Linked DNA regions of Drosophila melanogaster. The protein of the gene in region 1 purifies or fractionates together with the protein of each later gene. This does not show direct contact. Each region holds a gene or a part of one and is shown in the gene's direction. Other genes may lie near its edges.

Evidence for each region.
Region 2: the proteins of AnxB10 (region 1) and EndoGI purify together in Drosophila melanogaster (affinity purification with mass spectrometry, with the first as the bait; one large-scale study listed by BioGRID). This does not show direct contact.

What each region holds. Positions count from the first base shown.
Region 1 is NC_004354.4:20,170,935-20,175,118, reverse strand, and holds AnxB10 (annexin B10), read left to right. Parts: upstream 1-1,604; 5' UTR 1,605-1,738; coding exon 1,739-1,750; intron 1,751-2,102; coding exon 2,103-2,814; intron 2,815-2,896; coding exon 2,897-3,078; intron 3,079-3,187; coding exon 3,188-3,190; intron 3,191-3,470; coding exon 3,471-3,527; 3' UTR 3,528-3,674; downstream 3,675-4,184. Other genes in the region: Sdic1 (Sperm-specific dynein intermediate chain 1), read left to right, coding at 1-187, 255-530; CG9578 (uncharacterized protein), read right to left, coding at 3,741-3,989, 4,054-4,184.
Region 2 is NT_033779.5:16,256,123-16,259,933, forward strand, and holds EndoGI (endonuclease G inhibitor), read left to right. Parts: upstream 1-1,565; 5' UTR 1,566-1,643; intron 1,644-1,882; exon of another isoform or gene 1,883-1,914; 5' UTR 1,915-1,991; coding exon 1,992-2,057; intron 2,058-2,126; coding exon 2,127-3,140; 3' UTR 3,141-3,311; downstream 3,312-3,811.

The sequences.
Region 1 (4,184 bases):
CAGTGAGGACGGCTACGTCTACTCCGCCTCGCGCCACGGCCTGCGCTCCGGGGTCAACGAGGTTTACGAACGCCATCTTGGCCCTATCACTGGCATATCCACGCACTACAACCAGCTGTCGCCGGACTTTGGCCACCTCTTCCTAACCTCGTCCATTGACTGGACCATCAAGCTCTGGTCGCTAAAGGTACCCATATCAAGTTGCCAGTTTTCTGTCGTCTCCGGAATTAATTCAAATATGCCCACTCTTTCAGGACACCAAGCCGCTGTACTCCTTTGAGCAGTACATCGCCTGGTCGCCCGTGCGACGGCAGCGGCCGCCTGGACCTGATAAAACTCAACCCAGACACGGAGCACCAGCCCTTCGCCGCGACTCCTGGACTCCATCCGGCCTGTGCATCGGCGACGAGGCCGGCAAGCTGTACGTGTACGACGTGGCCGAGAACCTGGCGCAGCCATCGCGCGACGAATGGTCGCGGTTCAACACCCATCTTAGCGAGATCAAGATGAACCAGGGTGACGAGATCTAGGACGATATAGTTAATAGTCGATACCACTTTTGCTAAGCTTACAGGATCGTCCTAGAACAAAATTTAAGTTGTATTTTTGGGATCCCGCTACTGTATAGAACCCAGAACTCAAAACTCAATTGCAGTCCAAGTGCTCAGAATCACTTAAAAGTCGCCAAGAAATCAGGGGAAACTGCAACATTCTCTACTTGACAGAATATAGACAAACATACATACATATGTACATATATATATACATAAGAATAGAACTACCCGCATATTTGATTGGTAATCCATTGTTTGTTTTAGTAGAGCCCAAATGTAAATGTATTATAGCGAAGCCTATTTAACAAGATTAAATAAACATAATATCTATACAAGATATCCTACGAGAAAAAGATGTCTATTATTTGGCTCGGATATAAAGTGTATACCCTCAGAAATGATTTTATTCGATATTTTGTTTTTTAAGATCTGAAAACATTTGAAGCGACTTTTTCCAAGACACTTGAATCCATTTTCGACTCTTTCGGCATAAAGCGCATTAAAAATTCCATTAAAACCTAGATGCTTGTGCACATTTTAAGCTTTTACGATCTCATCGCCAGGTTTTAATTAATTAATTCAAGAAATGTGCCGAATGAATCAGTTGATTTGGAATTCAAGTGCAACCCCAATTGAAGCGGAATTAAAAGCTCTCTCTCGCGCTCGCGTAAGCTTATACACTGAGAGAAACAAGATTGGCTTCAAACGGGGAAATGGCAGGTACCTATGTTGCAATACATCGCATCCATTATCTAAAACAGATAACAAATGCTTTAAAATTAAAAAAAAACTTTCGATTTCAAATTCGAAAAGAATTCAAAAATATTCCTTCTATGTTAAAACAAAAGAAATTAGATAAAAACCGATCGATTTTGAGCCAAAAGCAATACAATATGTGTATTTAATTTACGTAGCCGAGTGCTGCCTTCAGATTCTGCCATCCAAAAACAAGTCTCATTTTTCTTCGTGTGTAAAACTTGTGCTCTGCACCGAGCGCAAACCGGAGAGCACTGAAAAGAGACCTCGGTGCAGTGCCTCCCAATCCGAATTATTTAGCAAAAGCAGGCAGAGGCGACAAGACGTCGCAAGAAGAATTCGCAAAAAAGTCCCAGGAGAAAGACTGATTCGTGTGAAGTCGTCTACTGAAGAGCCACAAGGAACCCAAGGAATCTTCCAGCTGCATAATGGAATACAAAGTGAGTGGATTGGATTGCCAGGCTAGAGATGATTCCATTATTGCACTAATGCCTGTTATTGATTCGCCACGGCGATGCGTCACTCGCTACACGGGAAGAAAAATGCATATGGCTTAATGATTTGAGTTTGAATGTATTAACTTTCCAAAATATTAGTTTCTATCGAAAACAGAGAGTTACCATAGGAAGTTCAATCCTCATTGTATGCAGCTACTTTCTGATATTTGAAATGTTATATGTGTAAATGAATGATTTGAATATGACCATAATATTTGTTAGGCTGCTAAACTATTAGGCTTTTTTTTTTTTGCTAAAATTATATTTAATATACAACTAAATTTTTACTGTGCAGCCCGTGCCCACGGTTAAGGACGCAGCTCCCTTCGACGCCTCCCAGGACGCCCAGGTGCTGCGGGCGGCGATGAAGGGATTCGGCACCGACGAGCAGGAAATCATCGACGTGCTCGTCGGCAGGAGCAACCAGCAGAGGCAGACGATCAAGGCGGTTTACGAAGCGGAGTTCGAGCGCGACCTGGTGGACGATCTTAAGGACGAGCTGGGAGGCAAGTTCGAGGACGTGATCGTGGGTCTAATGATGCCACCAGTGGAGTACCTGTGCAAGCAACTGCACGCCGCCATGGCGGGCATCGGAACCGAGGAGGCCACGCTCGTCGAGATCCTGTGCACCAAGACCAACGAGGAGATGGCCCAGATCGTGGCCGTCTACGAGGAGCGCTACCAGCGCCCGCTGGCCGAGCAGATGTGCAGCGAGACCTCCGGCTTTTTCCGCCGCCTGCTCACGCTGATCGTGACCGGAGTACGTGACGGACTGGACACGCCCGTCGACGTCGGTCAGGCCAAGGAGCAGGCCGCCCAGCTCTACTCGGCCGGCGAGGCCAAGCTGGGAACGGACGAGGAGGTCTTCAACCGGATCATGTCGCACGCCAGCTTCCCGCAGCTGCGACTCGTCTTCGAGGAGTACAAGGTGCTCTCCGGGCAGACCATCGAGCAGGCCATCAAGCACGAGATGTCCGACGAGCTGCACGAGGCCATGATGGCCATAGGTCAGTATATATTTAACTGTTCCGTTATAAGTAATTGTTGTAACAGACACTTGGTTAAATGACACACTTCTTAACCTTTTAGTTGAGTGCGTCCAGTCACCGGCGGCCTTCTTCGCCAACCGCCTGTACAAGGCCATGAATGGCGCCGGCACCGATGACGCCACGCTCATCCGCATCATCGTCAGCCGCTCGGAGATCGACCTGGAGACCATTAAGCAGGAGTTCGAGCGGATCTACAACCGTACGCTGCACAGCGCCGTGGTGGTAAGTGGATCTCGAAGAATCGCGAGTGCTTCGCACATGGTTAACGCACCCCTTTCCCCTTCTCTTCACGTACTTGTCGGCATTTGTTGCGGTGTTTGTGTTGTCCTAGGACGTAAGTATTGGCCACGCCATTGGTGAAACGGATGTATTCCTGGTCTTGGTTACTCCACGTTATCAAGTGTTCCTTTTACGCTACATATGCTGCCAAAATCCCCATCAAATTATTTCTAAGAACGCCGAAGCAAACTGGTTCTTGGGCATTTTTCGATATCTCATTATTGGCTTGCCAAAAAAGTATTTTCGGGCAAAGTAGTAATTGTAGTGTAGAGGGCATAGCCAAAAAAGCAAGAACTTGGATCTCGCTTCAATACGTTCCTTTCTTTACTTTCCAGGCGGAGACCTCTGGTGACTACAAGCGGGCCCTGACAGCCCTACTTGGATCCGCCTAGGCCCGAGGATGTGGCAGCTGGTCCGCCCAATATTTTATTCGTGTTAATAGCTTTGATCGTAGTGTGCCTTTTAGGAAAATCGCTTTTAATGTCGTCTGCGCATGCGCACACTGTTGGCAATAAATAAACGCATATAGCAGCAGTTGTAACCAATGCGACGACTGACATAAACCTAGAGATCTGGGATCTGGCATCTAGCATCGGACATCGGGACTACTTAAAGAAGAGCTTGTGCAACTGCTTGGACTTCACGGGCACAAATTCTTGCATTTCATCCGGGTTGGTCCAGAAGGCCACACAGTTTTGAAGCTCAGTGCAAGGCGCCTCCCGATGGATGTACTCTTTCAGGATAAAGTCGTTCTCGATCTCGTGGTGGAAGCGGGTGTCGTGCATCCGGATTAGCACGTGGTCCACGCGCAGAAAGTGGCGCAAAAGGATGAAGAAGCCAGAGGGCATCACGCGCTGTGCCAGAAAGAGTTGGGCTTCTTCGATAAGGGCTCTATAATTTGTATTTATCAGCACTTACGATTCGCACGCTCATCACCGATATTCCGTGGTCGTGCAGCTCATCCTCGAACAGAGTTAAATCGTGGTAGAAGATGATGTTCTCGCGCTGCATCAGCTTGAACTTGTTCAGCGTCTGATTCGTGGTCTCCG
Region 2 (3,811 bases), on another chromosome or scaffold:
CCGTCCACATTTGTTCAGTATAAAATGCCAACTGATTTGGCTGTTTTGTTCTAAAAAAAACAATTTCTCTCGGCCATGTCTTTTGTTTACTGTTTGCTCTGCCGCTTTGATATGATATAAATCTGCTCGAAATGTCTTCAACAGATTAGATATTAGATTAGAATCTACGTGTATGTACCTAGCAAATGACGTATGAAGATGATAAAAACTGCCAAAAAAAATAAGAGAAATAAACTTTAACTGGTGCAGTGCAAAATAGTTTTGGTCCCGTCCTAGTTCCGTTCGGATGGTAAAACTGGGTCAGCTGACATTTATTTTCAACTGGCGAAGGCAGTTAACCAGGTAACTGGGTCGAATGAAAGTAAAATGCGTGAAGTTACCCATTTATTGAAGTATATGATTGTTGTGTATGATAACAAATGGGACATTACATTACTTTCCTTAACGTTTTTTATGCAAGCACAGCAGAATTTGCAATTCGATTAATTTGATTGCGAAGAAAAGAATATTATTCATAGCAATTACACAGATTTGTTGGTATTTTGAGAAGAATACATTTAAAAAGTTCACATTCATATTTATAAAAAACGTAAACACAATTAGTTTATAACATATTCTAGTTTTACAAGATGACAATTGTTTATAGTTTTTGCACAGACAAATAAAAATGTAACTGGTTGATATATACTAAAAAAAAATTTAAACAAATTCCAGAAACTATTTCTAATGCCAACATGTTTTTTAAGACTATTTTTCGAATAAAACAAACAAAATCCAGTTAGAAATTGTTTAAACGAAAAAAATTGAATGTAAATGCCAACGCACGCACACAAGCACACATACTTTGTGGCTCAGTAGTTGTGCGAGTGTTCGTTGACGTTCGAAACAATTTATGCAACAAAAATGTATTATTTAAAAACTTGCGGCTGTAGCCGATCCCCTGCCGCACTTACCACAATTGCCATACACATTTGAGTATAACTTTTGAAGCTTTTTCGTTGCTTTTCGTGCACGAGAAAATTGAATTCACGTCCACACGCACACACAGACGCACCGCGAGACTCTCACCGACACGAATTCCACGAATGCAATTGGCTGGTGTGTGTTGCCTTTTACGACACAACTATTGCTCTTATTGCAACTGTAAATTGATTGTATCTTTAGCTTAAGTGTTTTTTATTGAATAGGATTGTTAAACTTTGGTTTTTCAGCGACATTAACGCAAAATTCATCTGCAGCTTAACCTCAAATTTCTTTGTGTCTGTCACGCACACACACACACAAACACAGTCAGCACGGGGCGGAACCAATGGTATAAGATGAATCTATCAATTTGACATGAATTAATCGGGCGAAAATAATATCTGTAGTTTCCAGCACGGATTGCACAATTTTTTCTACCGATTTCCAAGAGCAAAGTACTTGTAATCGAAGTAGGCGTTGCGAACAATTCGCTCGTTTGTGTTGGTAGACACGGATGGTGATTATATTCGATAATCTCGAACACTCGATAGAGCCGATAGTATCGAGTGCAATTAAGTGTTAGATAAACATCGATTGCGGGCAGAATCGATACTTTTTTGTAATAATTTAATTACCTATTTTGCAATTGTCTTTTAAAAACAGTTTTTTTTATTTTAAATGTAAGATGTGATTTTAAAGGAAGTTGTACAATATATATACATATATATTTATTTATAAACCGACATAAAATATATAATATTTTCAATATGTCACATACTTTCTTTTCTTATTCATCCAATAAGTCGTCTTATTTTGATTCTTGGTCTGTCCTTCCGAGAATATTCCAATTAAAATTATTCTCTATTGAAAAGAACTACCCTACTATTTACATTCGTAGTATCGCAACAGCAAGCGGCGATCTGAATTAGTCATCTTATCTCTTTCCGACAGAAGTGACGATCAATAGCCCAACGATTTTAAACGCTTTACTTCGAAGAACCTTAAATCGCCAATTTATCCAGAGGGGAATGTCCAAGCGCAAGGCCGAGGACACACAATCCGACAAAATGGCAACGGCCGAGAAAGTAGCACAGGTAATAAGCAACAGCCATAGAAAATAAACAAAAATAGTTTACAAACAATAACAACTATTGTCTGGACAGAACGATTACACCATTGGCCTGGTGGATCCCGTTAAGGATTACCAAAAGCTTATCGAAACACGCGTGCAGGTAGACGAAATCGTGGATGATGATGTCACCAAGGAGAATTTCGATCGAACGGCTGCAGCGGCGCGTGACGTCATCTGGCGGCTGTTATTCGACGAGGCCGGTACCTCGCAATCGAACACAGAGAAGGCCAGCCAATTGCTGGAGGAATACCGTGGTGACGCCTGCTTCTACGACCCGACGCCGTACAACGAATGGATTGTCAAGCTGAGGGATGAGGTTCTAAAGAAGGAACTCCTCGACTTTTGGCGCGATGTGCTGGTGAAGAAGCAACTCGGTCCCTGTTGGTCACGCGACAGTGATCTCTTTGACAGCGACGACACCCCGCCATTGGAGTTCTATGCCCATGCCGGTTGTACCGCTCCATTTGCAGCCAGCTTAAAGGTGCGCGCAGCACTCGAGGAGCAGGCTTCGCTGGATCAGGATGGGCCAGCGACGCCTACAACTCCGGGTGAACTGAGTGCCGATGATGCCGCCGCTCTGTCTGGCGAATTTGAGGCCACCCTGACCAAGGAAAATCCGCTCGAGGAATACCGAACTCTAATGAAGCGCTTTGTTCTGACCAAAATCATCGTTCCGGACAGCGTTCACCAGGCCAGCGTGAAGAAGATAGCGGCAGCCGCCAGGGAGATAATCTGGAAGCTGCTCTTCGATGGCACACCCTCAGCGGAGGATCAAAACAAGGCCGCCGAGCTGCTGCAGGAGTACAAGGGTGATGCTGGTTTCTATGGGCCCGACGACTACAACAGTTGGATTTTCAATCTGAGGGATGAGGTTCTCACCAAAGAGCTTCTCGACTTTTGGCGCGACAAGATGGTGAAAATGGAACTTGGTCCCAGTTGCGCCCGCGATTCCGACTATTACGACAACGAGGATCCGCTGCCATTCGAGTTTTACGAAAAGGCTGGTTGCAAGGCTCCCTTTGAAGGACCTGTAAATGATGATTAGTAGTGCATCTTTCATGACTGAAGGATTGTTTCCTTATGTACTAAAACACCTATTCTGGTCGTAATCTCTGAAGGCACACACAGTAAAGCATTTCAATATCTGAATTATGTTTCGAAATGTTAGAAATTGTTTAAAAATGAATAAAATGATAAGTATTTTATAACTGTTCTCAAAAATAGTGGTCCTTTTTATTATCTCGATCAGTAACAAATTATTTGTTCTCTTCATATTTCTTCAATAGCTTAAAGCATTTAAAATTTTGTAATATATATAAACTATAATAGCATATAAATTAAGGAACATTTTTCTTCATTTGATTTAAAATTTGTATCACGAATTTTCTTGAAATATTTTATGAGTATTCTTACATCTCCTGTTCTAATTAAGCATTATGCATCCTAAAACTTTTAAATTGTGTATTAAATGATTGTTTTTAGATACTTTTAATAAAAGTTGACCGATGTAGGTGGAATCCACATAAATAGTTTCAGCATAGTTTGTATTCATACATAGACAATTTTCGTAATTTCCTTTGAAGTTCTTAAATCCAATGGTTAGATTATTATGCTTAAATACTAAAATAAAATATGAAATACTTTCTTAAGTTAACTTTTAAATTCCGAACACAAAAATGAACTTTAATTAATTTTGAAACTATTACATACACTGAC